Schizosaccharomyces pombe: one gene and its partners. The gene in region 4 interacts genetically with the main gene of each other region. Each region holds a gene or a part of one and is shown on either strand. Other genes may lie near its edges.

What was found.
Region 1: mutations in fta6 (region 4) and aly1 together harm fitness more than expected from each alone (negative genetic interaction), as found in Schizosaccharomyces pombe (one large-scale study listed by BioGRID).
Region 2: mutations in fta6 (region 4) and SPOM_SPBPB7E8.01 together harm fitness more than expected from each alone (negative genetic interaction), as found in Schizosaccharomyces pombe (one large-scale study listed by BioGRID).
Region 3: mutations in fta6 (region 4) and mgr2 together harm fitness more than expected from each alone (negative genetic interaction), as found in Schizosaccharomyces pombe (one large-scale study listed by BioGRID).

What each region holds. Positions count from the first base shown.
Region 1 is NC_003423.3:595,648-599,663, reverse strand, and holds aly1 (arrestin-related trafficking adapter), read right to left. Parts: upstream 2,367-4,016; 5' UTR 2,054-2,366; coding exon 539-2,053; downstream 1-538. Other genes in the region: neddylation protein Dcn1, read left to right, coding at 1-236; dynamin-like GTPase fzo1, read right to left, coding at 2,916-4,016.
Region 2 is NC_003423.3:3,492,151-3,497,277, reverse strand, and holds SPOM_SPBPB7E8.01 (uncharacterized protein), read right to left. Parts: upstream 3,057-5,127; 5' UTR 2,762-3,056; coding exon 1,052-2,761; 3' UTR 501-1,051; downstream 1-500.
Region 3 is NC_003423.3:1,569,633-1,572,863, reverse strand, and holds mgr2 (protein Mgr2), read left to right. Parts: upstream 1-1,944; 5' UTR 1,945-2,011; coding exon 2,012-2,045; exon of another isoform or gene 2,046-2,088; coding exon 2,089-2,417; 3' UTR 2,418-2,660; downstream 2,661-3,231. Other genes in the region: sua1 (sulfate adenylyltransferase), read left to right, coding at 1-1,379; SPOM_SPBC27.05 (uncharacterized protein), read right to left, coding at 2,792-3,118. UniProt on the Schizosaccharomyces pombe protein: Required for cell viability in cells lacking mitochondrial DNA.
Region 4 is NC_003424.3:4,781,540-4,783,878, reverse strand, and holds fta6 (protein Fta6), read left to right. Parts: upstream 1-1,572; 5' UTR 1,573-1,605; coding exon 1,606-1,636; intron 1,637-1,683; coding exon 1,684-1,832; downstream 1,833-2,339. Other genes in the region: ARP2/3 actin-organizing complex actin-related protein subunit Arp2, read right to left, coding at 1-726, 777-824; pheromone p-factor receptor Mam2, read right to left, coding at 2,145-2,339. UniProt on the Schizosaccharomyces pombe protein: Component of the kinetochore, a multiprotein complex that assembles on centromeric DNA and attaches chromosomes to spindle microtubules, mediating chromosome segregation and sister chromatid segregation during meiosis and mitosis.

The DNA of each region.
Region 1 (4,016 bases), on a different chromosome or scaffold from region 4:
TTCTTCTTAAAGATACTTTTCCTCTTCTGGATGATTGGATTGCTTTTTTAAAAGTTTCCCCTATTATCGAAAAATCTCTGCCAAAGGATACGTGGAATGAATTATGGGATTTTAGTGTATTTGTTAAATCAGATCCCAATTGCTCTAATTATGATTTTGAAGGTGCGTGGCCAACCCTCATAGACGAGTTCGTGTCTTACTATAGAGAACACGGTTATAAAAACAGCAGCTCCTAACAAATAACTGCTTTTCTGTAAGTTGATTTCAATGACATCAATGAAAAAATAATAAACTCTTACACCCCAATAATTCTCTACAGCAAACTGCTGCTAGTTTAACCCTAAAAACATTTTAGTAATGAGACACATATGTTTAATAATAAGAAAAATAATGAATATATTAATGAAACTATAAAAAGAACATGTACAACAGTCAATGGAAATAGCAAGTGCGAAAAAAAATATAATAACAAAAACGTTTATATACAAGGCAAGACAAAAATGCAAATAGATAATAAATCACAGATAAATAATAGATACTAGTTGTCATCATGATTTTCATCATGACTGCTGCCACTTTGAAAAATATCATCGTACTTTGGAGGTGGTGCTTGATACGGGACAGCGGTCCAGGAATCAAAGGATGGTGGAGAATTTCCGATAATGTCAGAATCAAGTGCGAGATCCCTGTTCATACCAGCAATGATTCTGTTGTCGATTGAGCAAAAATTTACCTCACTAGAGGGGATAATAGGACAATACGCAGGTAGCATAGTTGAACCATCAGAACATCTGCAAGATAAGAGTCGGACAGGAGAATCAATATAGATTTCCAAATATTTTGCAGAGCCCATTAATTCAGGAGAATTTTCGCAAGAAAAGCGAAGTACTGTACGCACAGTATGTGTTATTTTAATGTTTGGATACGTAGTATCGAAATGCACAATATTGGCAGCCATGTCATGACATCCAGGAATACGTACCTGATCAGACAGTTCGTAAACATCAGGTCTAACCTGCTTCCAATCGGAGAGCAAACATTGGTTCTTTGGAGCACTACGCTCATACAGAAGTAGTTGTCTGGTTTTCTCTTTTCGACGGACTGAACGTTGGCGACAATAATAATATCTTCGCTCCATTAAAAAAAGGCGAAGTTTATGAAACTTGACTTCACCCAAGAGGGTGAATTTAAAGTTGACAGGAACTACTTGACCCATTACAACACATTTCTCACCGACTTGAACCTCGTAGTGAAGCCTATCTTCCCAACTCTTTGAGACAAGTATAGGTTCTGAAGTCGCAACACTAGTACTACACGGGCTACGAATTAATTCAATGGGAATCCTGCCGGTGGACTTACCAGAGAAGGTGCTGCTTCTGTCCACCAATGTCTCTAAGAAATAATATACACGACCCATATCGGTCTGTATAGATTCTGGATATGTACAAGAGATAGGAAGCTCAAAATTATACACGTATTCTCCAGGGTAAAAGCATTCCATACTGCGGGGATAGTGTGCGGTATCTGCGTAATGAGGCAAAACTTTGTACCACACTGCACCATGTGAATTCTCATCCACTTTCTGTTCAGAATGAAAAAATACCCAGCAATGATTCATAATACTGTTCTCTTCATATGTGTCAAAGAGTTTTGGAGGAATGCCTTCAGGCCATTCTGTTCTCGATTTTCCTTTAAAGCTCAGTTGTATCTTTTTCAATTTCACAGGCTTATAAATTTGAATGCACAAAGATCCACGCAAAACAGCTGAATGTTCACTTTGAATTTCACTTGAAGTCGCTCCAGGTAAATAGAGCACAGGTTCAGCAAGCGCAATAGCTACTCTGGCATTAGAGTTAGAAGAAAGCAGAAGCCATTCACGAGCTCGATATGATAGACCTTCACATTTACTAATTTTCTCTTCCTGGTATATATGTTGCGAGGGATCAGGCTGTGTGGTTCTATCAGTCAAGCGAATTACAGGGTTGTAGCCATTGGAAGAAGGTCCGTAAGGAAACACCTTGTCGTGATAATTTCTCAGATTGGGAATATACATCAAACGAGATACACACTATGATAGTACTTCGCAACTATGTATCTCAGAACAAGCACCTTGCAAGGCGTACTTCAGAGGCCTAAAAATCGAGATGAACAAATGAATTAAAGATAAAAAATGCACAGCTTAAATGACAGCGTATTGTTTTTAAAATACACTAACTAATTGAAATATCGTCGCTCAAAGAAGTAAGAATATGGAACAAGCGGCTCTGTAACCAAAAGAAATTGGTATATTTCCAAAATATGTATAAAAACCGTAAAATGAAATTTCAGATAGCAATTCAAAAAAAGATTGTGATAAGGGGCTTTTCAGAAATTGCCAGCACGGTAACGCTAGTAGATGTGCTGCATACATTTTATAACCATATAATGATGATATTTATCAAAAATCATTATATCGTCTTATATCAAGTTCTGTTCTACTTTGGAGATGTGTTATTAAATAGATTTTATAATTTAGATCATTACATTTTGACATAAACATTTTATGTATGAAAGAATTGAGTGGATGCAATATAACTTGAGGAAAATTCCAGTTTATAAAATGTTCTTATCGACTTTGAAAGACATCAGAAACCTAAATAAAAAACTCATGGCTTTAGTAGTTGAAGTATATTGACCTCAGCAGAATTAAAATATTAAATGCCATGCTTCCCAATATTGCATTCGTGCTACGAAATTGAATATGGATGATTACTCGGAAATGGAAATTTGATGTATCTTGAATTCATTAATCTTGGAATGTAAAATATAAGATGAAATCATCAAACATAAACTCGAAGAGTATATCGTTTTCAGTAAGGAAGGCCACTTCCAATTTTCTTTTCTTTTTTTTTAAAACTTAGCCTCAGCCCGTACTGCTAATAATTTATATCACATCCCTCCAATTGAACCATCATTATCTTCTTCTTAGCTTCACGAGTTCGGCTTTCTATTTCACCAAAAAACTTTCTTGCTTTTTGACAAATTCGTAAGTCATTCTCAGCGACAGATATAGTCTCGCGCTGCTTATCCCATTGTTGGTGAAACATTCTTCGTAAATCATTCAACGGAATATTGAGAACTTTACGACTCTCTGTACCTATCCAAATACTAGCATTGTGACAAAAATCTGTCTCCCTTAAAGATTTTTTTATCTTTTCCGCAACTTTAAGAGGAAGTGCTCTAGGTATATCGTAAATAACATACCCAAAAACGCAAATACTTGCTAAACCAAGTACCGGGACCAATAAGTGTTGAAGCGAGTTATTTTGAAAATATTTAAATATTGGATAACCAAGATTTCCAGTAAATGCACCAAGCGTTGTAAATGAAGGGGTTGTTTTTCCAAGGACCAAGAGAATAGTACTCAATGAAGCGCTCCAGGTTCCTAATCTCTCAGTAAGGTCTAGATCTATAAAATCAAGCAAGCCAAGTTCAAATCGAAAATGCTTCTGCAGTTGCAATCTATGTTTCTTAATAAACATTTGGTTGGCATGAAAGACTGGAAGGACGGCGGAGTCAAAATTATCTTTTACATCTTTTTGAATACATAAGACAGCTTCTTCGGTCCTCTTTCGAGCATAATCTTCTGACTCCAACAATTTTTCTTCTAAATATTGTTGCATGGCGTCTCTTACGGATATCGCATACTGGTAGGCAAAGAAAAAACCAGAATACTTGACAGAAGCAAAAGAACCTAATGAGTCAATAGCATCTTCTAATTCGGAATGTGTATGCTGAGAAATAGATTGCACAGTCGCTTCAACTAAAGATTCATTCTTCTGATAGGTAAATTGCTGCTCATGTTTTACCTTACGAAATTTTGGAGAAAGATCCGTCAAACGTTGTTGCAAGTGATTAATATCAAAATCGATAAGTTTTATGTTATATTCGCAGATATTAAGTATATCACCGACTAACCCTGACAAGTATCTACGTACCGGGGCAAGTTTAGATTTTGAGCGATTTTCGAGAATGAA
Region 2 (5,127 bases), on a different chromosome or scaffold from region 4:
GCTGATGGTTATTGCATTTTAACATCTGGCGTTCACACCATTCAAGCATATGACGACGATAATCGAAGCACAAATGCCGCCCATTGTGTCAATCAGATCAACGACAAAAGCGCGGGACCGCTCGTAACGATCGTTAGTGCTTAAGACGGAGACAATTTCTATATAACGAAAGATTTTTAAACGTTAAAACCGTTGTCTCTTATACAGCCATCAATTATAGTGAATAAATGTGCTAGCAAACATTATATATATATATATATATTTATATATTCCATTACCGTGTTTACATGTCTTTCCCACATTTAATATAATTTATTTACTCACAAAAATGCATATTTTTAAATTCATCACCATATCAATCTTAGTATATAGGATTTTTTTACACATGTCATCCGATTGTAACAAAACTCACTCTCACAATATTAATCGCATCTACCGCTCTATCGTCATACAAAGTACCTTCTATCACACTACTTTTTTACAGCGACTTAACTAAGATTAAAACAAAAACATCAATCGATTAAATTTCGTTCGCGTAAAACTGAAAGCATTCCCTTCATTAAAGAGTTAAAAAAAAAAAATATTAAGTGTTTGTAAAATACACACGAAAATTTGAGTGAGACAAATGACCCAAACACTATTATAGAGGCATATATATAAAATATACATCATCACGTCGGTTAAAAAGCAACGGAATTATAATCACACAATTCGGGTAAAGTATCTTGTAAAAAGATAAAATGTTTTTATAACTTAACAAACAAAAGGGCAGATCGAAATTCTATAGAAATATGTGCAAGGTATATTGATACAGTTATCAACCAAAATTATAATTTAGTAGCAATCTTCAAAATAAAACTAGTGTTTCGCGTTTGCATAAGAAAACAAAGTATTAAACAAGGCTTCATATCGTCATTAATAGTATCATCTCCTAGCAATAAAAATTAATTGACTTTGATGGCCAAATCATAAAAATCTCACTAACAGCTAATTTAAAGCTTTATTATATAGTAATATACATCAGGAAGATTCAATTTGAAAATCAACCGCGTTAAAACAAACTTGCAGTAATCAAGCACAATCCTGCAGTCAAAGTCATCATCAAATTCTTGGAAACACTGAACAAATCACCAGCTGCTCCAGAGGTGGCGGATGTTGAACTAGACGCAGAAGCAGATGATGAAGCAGTTGAACTTGATGAGGTAGTTGTAGTAGTGTTGGTGGCATTAGTAGAAGTGGTGTTGGTTGAATCCAAGATAGATGTCTCTCTTCTCAAAGGATGAAGAGCAAGCTGTTTACCAGTTGGAGCAGTCTTGGGTTTTTCAGACAACGATCTCTTAGCCAAGCTCTCGCTATATTCGTTGGTAACACCAGTAAGGTTGTTGACCGAGTAGCCCATACGTCTGAAGACAGTACGCATAGCAGGACCGATGGGACCGTAAGCGACATCGGCTTGATCACTTCCATAAGCACACTCGATGTAGGATTCAAGAGTAGCGCCAGCAGTATAGAAAGCACGCATCAAAAAGTTGGGCTCACAATCATAATGATGAAGAGCTACATGAGACAAAGATGATCCAGATGAAAATGGAACATAGGAAGAATCCAAGTAAATAAAAGGTGAATAGGTGTCAATGCCTGCATCAGGGTAGATAACCAATCTACCGGGATTAATGGCCTTGCGGTAAGCTTCGTTAGCTTGGATATGGAACTGAGTAGTTGTATCATTCATCTGGGCAACAACACCGGCAATGGAGTCAGCCTTAAGGGTAAATGCAGCACCGACACTATGGAAAAATTCAGCAATGGTAGGTAATCCCTCATTAGGGTCGATAGAATAAAAAATATTCCTGTCAAAAGCATTCTCAATAACATCATGGAAAGCATACATAGTTTCTCCATTCATTTCACCAATAACATATGAGACAGTGGGTAAAAGAGCGTTCATATAAGGATCAGTGAGATTCTCATATCCGAATACACCCCATCCAGTTGAGAAACCAAGACCATGAGTTATTTCATGGAAAAGGACATAAGCCAAATCTACTGCTTCGTAGCCCATATCACCAGAGCCAAAGTAGAAATTAGCATCAGCGTTCAGGGCAATCGTAATATCGCTGTCAGCATATGAAGGAGGATCAGAAAGACCAAGTTGCTTAACTACAGCCTGAGGATAATAACGAGTTAAACCATCACTGCAAGCCATGGGAATTTCACGAGAAGGAGAAGCTTCACCGCCAATACTGCCTGCTACCATACCTTGACCCTGGGAACAAACAGACTCGCCAGTACAAGCACCAACAACGGTAACATCGATAACAATTGGGGTGTTAAGGTTAAGCACACGTGAGAATTGTTCACCCACGGAGTCAGCTACATCAATGTATTGCTGACATAACGTGTCATTGCTATGGCCATCAGAACCGAAATAGCAAGAAAAGTTAAAATCAAACATGTTCGTGGTTGAACGCTTGCTGAATGATTCCTTGTCAACGTTGACAATGGCGCCATCACGAGGGGCAAGGGGTAATAATTGGAAATCGGAAGGGTTCATATTTCCGTCAAAAGACCGCTTGTAGACACCTTCAGCATTAGGATCCAAGTCCCTTTTGTTAACAGTGGGAATACATTCCGATTCGAAACGAACCGACTCCAAAGTTCTCTTGTCGAAAGTAGTATCACGGCAGAAATACTGTGCAGAAACACCCTGAAGCATACTAGCACATTTCAAAATCAAAGCAGCCTTAACAAGAAGTGACATCGTGACTTCAAAAAAATTAACGAGAATAAAGAAAAAGAAAGGCGGGTATTAATTTCAATTCAAAAAAAAAGAACACAAAGGACTATAGAAAACACAAATAAAACAAGCGTTTTCAAAAATCAAGAAGAATAAAAAAACTCTAAAAAAGAAAAAAACCAAAAAAGTAAAAGTTAAGAAAAAATCTAATACAAAAGGAAGTAGTAATTAACTTCCAATTGTAAACGAATTGTATGAGCAAAAGAATGAAAACTCAACAACCGCTTTCAGTTAGAAAAGATCGTGTACAAATGATGTTGAAATCGATGACAGTCGAGGTTGTTTATATACTTTTGCGATTTAAAAACCGCCAGATAATTGAGGACTGGTAGAAAATCCAGCACATGACCTTGCGTAATGCAGCCAGCATTTTCATGCGATAGATGAACAAAAGTGCCGCTCTCTCACCACGTAAGATCCGCCAGCGCAGTGATTCATTTGCGCTAAATACTCAATAAAATGTAAGGAAGTAATGTTTTAACATGCTTAACCATAAAAAGCGAAGTATCGAGGGAATTTCCACTTGGTTTCGGTCCAAAAGTTAAAATATATCCGCAATTGGTGGAAAAAAATCCTCTTCCTTTATCAACCAAGTGCACCTCGGCTTGGCCAAAGCATAGTCAGTATCGATTTGCTACCAGCAAAGAGCAGTCACGGAAACCAAGAAAGAGGTTGGATAGTAGGTTGACCCTTGCAAATCCTTGAAGATGCGGACAGTTTAACTATCAGCTCGTTTAGTGGAATGGAAAATCAGCTGTTGTAAAGAGTCCACCGTGAACCAAAAAGTCAAGCGATATCTCGTAAGCATCGTAAAACAAGTCCGTGCGCAATCCTGCCACCTTCTACATTGCATTTAGTAGATAGAGATAATTGAAGCCTTTTTAATACAACGTTCATGAACTCAGTAAAACCAGTTTTCTTAAAAATTATGGTAAACTAGATGCGAAAGTCGGAAGAGTGAAACTCCATGCGCGCTTTCAAAATTAGCGATATTTTATTTTCAAGTGAAAAAAATGAGTAATGAAAGGCGCGACTAACTGAACGTGACTGCAGAAATTTTTAATTTCATACCGAAATCGTACATGGATGTAAATTTAGGGAAAGTCTCTTGATATTGACAAATGGTTAGCATTATAATCCAGAACAGTCTGCATCCCAAAATGACTAGACACAATGAAGGTTAATAACATTAGTCTACCAAGCCTACGGAGCAATCTCTCAATTCCCAAAAATAGACACAGTTTTAATTCTCCTTACTTATGATCGTTTTACAAACACCGAATTTTAATCAATAATCGTTGAATGCATGTTGCTCATTGTCAAACTTCTTCCGATTACTTGAACGTGGGAATCCTATCCAATTGACATTCGTCTTCCCAGAAAAAAATTTTGTAGGGAAGAATTGAATCATTGAAAGACACGTTTTTAAAACAATTGGAAATAAATTATGTTGTAATAGAAAAAAAACAAAGTTTATGCAACTTTTCGCACTTCGGTCACCAACGACGCTGGTTAACGAAAAACGGAACTAACTTAATTCCGTTCCTTTTGAAGGTTTTGCATCTAGAGACAAAGAATTGCAATATCGTGCATTTTAATTCTGTTTAATGATAAATGGTCGTCACAATTGCTTCTAATTAAGTTGACAGCTAGCTAGCTCAATTTGCTGGACGCTGGGAAAAGCAACTAACTATTGGAGTAGTTGATCGGTATCAGGGCGATTGACGACTAGCACACAGACGGAAACATGGATTTCGATCCGTTTTTGCGGAAGTACTCCCAAAACTAATATCCAGCACTGATGCTTAATGGAGAGCATTAAAGCATGATTCGTTCAGGTAATTGAAAAACGGTAATTTCAGGTGAAAAAAAAAATTTACTATCAGGACCTTTGCATTCTCAATAGGATAAATGAACATAGCTTTATCCGGCAATTCCTAAATTTGATCCATGTATATCAACGAATCTCCTTGAAACATGGTAATATAGGAAGCAACGAAGCTTTCATACAGAAGTGTCGTTTTATTCATTTAACAACGCTTAGGTTTTTCTATTGGTATATTCAACGATAATGCAAATGATTTAAAGCAAGCAAAAAATGATGCCTTTTTTTGACAGAGTTTTTTTGGTTTGAATAAACCGGAGTAGGCGAACAAAATTATTCACATAAATAAGACTGCAGAAATCACCAGATTTTCTTAAGCTACATTTTGTCTACGATCCACAAAGATTTCACCTTGAGTAAGAGTCAGAGAACATACTTGGAAAATGAGGTTGTGAATGGGAATTCAAAGGTATATATATATATGTATGTTTGTAACAGCTAGGCA
Region 3 (3,231 bases), on a different chromosome or scaffold from region 4:
TATCGGAACGTCAGTTTTGCGATGTGGAACTCATTTTGAACGGAGGTTTCAGTCCATTAGACGGATTCATGAACCAAAAGGATTATTTGAATGTCGTCGAGAATTTGCGTCTCAGCACTGGCGAGGTCTTTCCCATCCCTATCACCTTGGACCTCAATGAATCGCAGGCCGATTCTTTGAAGGCCGGTGATCGTGTTGCATTATTAGATCCTAGGGATGGGCAAACTGTTATTGCCATTTTGACTGTTGAGGACAAGTATACCCCAGATAAGGCGAACGAAGCTGAAAAGGTATTTGGTGCTAATGATCGCGCCCACCCTGCCGTCGACTACTTGTTTGGTCGTGCTGGAAATGTGTATGTTGGTGGTAAACTTCAAGCCGTTACTCCTATTCGCCATTTCGATTTCGTAGAGTACCGCTACTCACCTGCTCAACTTCGCTCTGACTTCCAGCGTAACAACTGGAATCGCGTCGTTGCTTTCCAAACCCGTAATCCCATGCATCGCGCCCATCGTGAGCTTACCGTCCGTGCTGCTAAGCAACACGGTGCCCGTGTGCTCATTCACCCTGTCGTCGGTATGACCAAGCCTGGTGATATCGATCACTTCACCCGTGTGCGTGTTTACGAGGCTATTCTCCAACGCTATCCTAAGGGTTCCGCCAAGCTCTCTCTTCTTCCCTTAGCCATGCGTATGGCTGGTCCTCGTGAAGCTTTATGGCACGCCATCATTCGTAAGAACTACGGTGCTTCTCATTTCATCATTGGTCGTGATCATGCTGGTCCTGGTAAGAACAGTCAAGGCGAGGATTTTTATGGTCCTTACGATGCTCAGTACCTTGTTGAACAATACGCTCAGGAAATCGGTATCACCATTGTTCCTTTCCAAATGATGACTTACCTTCCTGATGAGGACATCTACAAGCCAGTTGACAAAGTCGAACCCGGTACCCGTACTTTGAACATCAGTGGTACTGAACTTCGTCGCCGTCTTCGCGTCGGTGCCAACATCCCTGAGTGGTTCTCTTATCCAGAGGTTGTCGCTATTTTACGTCAATCCTATCCTCCCAAATACTCTCAAGGATTTGTTTTGGCTGTTCCTGCCACCTCCGATAAACTTCTCCCCAGCGCTCTAGTTTCAGCCTTGAACGAGGATGGTCGCCGCCATGTCACTCTTTTACCTCGCTTAGATGCTATTTCAGTGTTTTACGCCCAAGAATTGCAACGTGCTGGTGCTGCCGTTGTTGTTTCTCTGGCTGATGCTGATGCATCTGTTAAAGTACCTGCTGAGTGGACTACCGTAAACATCAAGCCCAAAGACTCTGTTTCTGAGGTTACTTTTGCTGTCCTTTCACAATTGTCTGACGAAGGCTATCTTTAAAATAATGTTTTTTGACATATATATATATATATATATATACATATATCCATTTTTGTTCTTTTATGTTCTACTTGTCTATTAAATAATAAAATAATTGCTGCAGGAATGACAACACTCCCTCATTAGAACTTTGCCATTTGTAGATGTAACTAAGAATGCAACTCAATTAAATTTCGCTAAGGACATGTTAGTAATTAATTAGCGATAGGCTTCTTAATAACAAAAGGTAGGAAATTCAATCCGAAGCCGAGGGGAATTAATTTATTATATATGTCAGATATACATAGCAGACTTTAGCAATTGCAATACATGCCAATGCAATGTTTTATTTTAATTCAGAAGTCATTATAACGTTAAGCCTATGCTCTCACTTAACGCATGCCTGGATGTAATACATTGTTACATTTACTTAAAAAAACTGGGCTTATAAAAAATATATATATAGGTTTTCTTTAAATTAACATTTCCTAAACTAAACTATTGATTTAACAAAAGAAATTGTTACATCTATTGTTATACCTAGGTATCCAATATAATAACTGTATACTACCTTACTTTTCCTACCAACAAAATCCCCCTTGAAACTAGTGCTCTCTATTTCTAAATAAAAGTAAGACCTTTAACTACTCAAAATGCAATCTATGCAACCTTCAACTGTGGATAAGCGTAAGTTCTATATTGTATGAATTCAGTCATTAACACTGAACAGTAAAAATGGGCGCCATTATGGGTTCAGCTGCTGGACTTGGCATCGGGTTTTTATTTGGAGGAGTAGCAGTTTTGCGCTATGGGCCTGGTCCACGTGGATTCTTAAGGACCTTAGGTCAATACATGTTAACATCTGCGGCCACTTTTGGCTTTTTCATGTCCATCGGCTCTGTAATTCGCAACGAAGATATACCACTAATACAGCAGTCAGGCTCACATTGGAATCAAAGATTATTAAATGAAAATGCAAATTCCAGTCGTATTTTTGCCTTGGCTATGCAACAGGCCAAAAGTTCTCCACGTAAATCAAATGAAGTTGCTGAGTGCTAATTTCGTTTAATCCGATTATAATAAAAGTATCATACTATCATTTTGTTAGTATATGAGGTACAATATTTGTTTCTCCTGAATTCTGAGTTAAAGATGTACTGATGATTGTACTATCATGCATTTAAACTAAAAAGCTTTGGCCGCTACATCAAAGGACTTTTGCATTTTTCTGATAGTTCATGTTTAAAAAAGTCTTTATACCATATTGTTAATATTTTGATGGCGATTTAATTTTCCTTAAAATTTTTACGATTTAAAGATTTGGGTAATTTGCTAGGTGGTAAATTGGTAAATTAGTTTGTTTCGATGAATAATATTTGTAGCAATAGTTACAAAAAATGATCGAAGACAAGCTATTACAAATAAGCTAATTATTATTTGATCATAAAGATATTTAGAAACAATACTTGTGCCTTAAAACTTGCAATATCAATAATGCTTGTCATAAGGAAGATTCGGTTACATATGGGTTGAAGATACATATGCTCATTAGTATTATTAAATGTATTATATATGCTTGATGTTATCACTTCTTTAGATGCTAATTGTAATGTAAATGCGTCTGTTGTCTCTTTTTGTACACGCATTATTAGTTGGTATCTTATATAAAACTTCGATTCAATCTCCAACTGGTAAAGCAAAATGCAATTAATGCCAGAATAAAATAAATATGCAAGTCCATAAACCGTTGTATGCACCATTCATAAGCAGAATTTACTGCGTTCATAAAGTTGCGAAAGCATAGTCTTCAAAATCTTTCGTTTGCTTCTTAGCCAAAATTCAAAAAAAAACTTGAAAGCACCTGCAAAAAGGT
Region 4 (2,339 bases):
TGGACATTCATAACGCTCAGAACCAACTTTAATAACTCTTCCATCAGGAAGGGTGTAATTACGCATTAAAACGGTAGTTTCTTCGCTAAGCTTATGGTCCAATTCCAAATCATAACTAACGTAACAAAGTTTTTCTTTCATCTCGCGAACAGTTTCAAAGTCTGCTGTACGATTGAAAGCATAACCCTTACGAAGAAGTAAGCTAATCAAATAGCGGGTAGCATCCCTACCGGCAACGTCAAGGCGACCAACTAAATGATTTAAAACAACACTTTCATAGACAGGCACAATATGGGTTACACCGTCACCAGAATCAACAACTACACCACTGCTTAATCCCTGTGCGTATAAAGAGAGAACGGCCTGAATGGCGACATAAACACCACCAAAACCATACCGTTCAAACATTGTCTCACACATTTTTTCGCGGTTAGCAACAGGATTCATAGGGGGCTCGGTCAACAAAATTTTCCTACCCCTCGGATCAATTTTTAGTTTTTCAAAGAAAGTGTAATCCCAAAGTTGATTCATCTCTTCAAAATCACGGATAATGCCATTTTCCATGGGATATTTTACTTGAAGTAAAGATCTCACCGCCTCAGCTTCATCACCGACCATAACATCTTTAATTTGAACATTTCCTGTTTTCTCTTCAGCACGTAAAATGGGCCTTCCTACGATGGATGGGAATTGAAAGCGCGGAAAATTGTCTTTAGCATATCCGACCTTGCTAACGTTAGTCACAGTGTAAACAAAGATTTAATTAAACTGATTACCTTCACAAAACCAGTTCCATTATCTAGAACAATGGGAGCAGACTCCATTTTATAAACGTCTCGTGTAGTTGGTGAAAGGTTAGTTCTTAAGTCCACCCCTATGTAATGTACCGGCGGTAACTATCTGCCATATACCGTATGACACAGCAGCACTGCAACTGTAGCAGAGCATTCGGTGATATATCGTAAATATGTAATATCGTAGGAAAGCGAAGTGCAGTAATCTTGAGAATTATAAAACAGAAATGAAGTATCTAAATTAATTTAACAATTGGCTGCAAAAAGAATAGCTCAAAGGTTTTTACGGTTAATGATCTTATCTTCTATTGTACTTAGCATTAGTATCGTTACCCCTTATACTCAAAGCCATAACTGTGCATTTATAATTGTTCGGCAGTAATGTATATTATCGCTTATTAGTTAAAAGATTCTTCGTTTCACATAGTATTACTATTATTTAAAAGAAAAACACGGACTCTATTTGTTTGTTTAATGTGCAGGTAACACTTCGATCGTTTATTATGAGATTGGTATGACTAGGAGCGCTGTGCAAAAATGAAGAATCGCGGAACCGATTTAATAAAGAATTTATTTCTCTAGTAACTAGATGTGTGCATTAAATTGAATACAAGACTTAAACAAAAGAATTATAATTATCGACATATACCATTATTGAATATTTGTCATCTGTTTACTGAAATAAGTGGAGCAATGCAATTTGAGAATAACACATATCGGTTTAAAGATCCTTATTATATTGCTATTACTAAATTAAGGAGTGTAACGTTTCGCAGCTAAAACATTTCGATACAATATTTGATAAAAATAAATGGAGGATAAATACATTTTATTGTCAGCAGGTTGGTTATAATTTTTATTTAATAGCTCAATACTTACGTGTATATAGTGGAAACGTTTAAATCACGTCTGGAAGAACTGCTAATGCAATCGGCCAAAGTACAAAAGCAAACGATGCTTAGAAAGGAATTAGCTTCTTCGATGAATGATATGGCTTCTACGGTACAAGAAGCTTTAAATAAAAAAAAAAGTTCGTAAGGTAAGCACTTGGAGACTCAAAACATTATAGTTCATTATAGATTACGAAGGCAGTTCATTCACTATTGTTTTAATAAGTGTTTGTGAAGTACGACTTGAAGTTTTCATGATAATAAGTTATTATAATCATATAATTTCATTGATGTTTATAGTAAACAATTGTTCATGAAGCGAAAAAAAAAAAACCATTAGAAAACTTCCCTCTGAGCAAATTATGATTACAAGCCTATCGTAAAAAAACCGTCTATGTTATTTGGGACTGTTATTGAGCCAGTATTAGGAATTATCAAAAAAGATACATTCAGGCGTAAGTTACGTCCACTTTTTAGTTTCAGATTCATCAGAAATCGAATAATCGTCACTGGGAGTATGTTTGATATCAAACGTTCTATCAACTCTAATCGAAACCTCGGTGGTTTCTCCTTGCGCAGATGAAGTTTTCATGCTTTGCAATTTCAGAGCTGTACTAGACGCCCATAAACTCGAAAGAGGAAGAGAAATGATTAG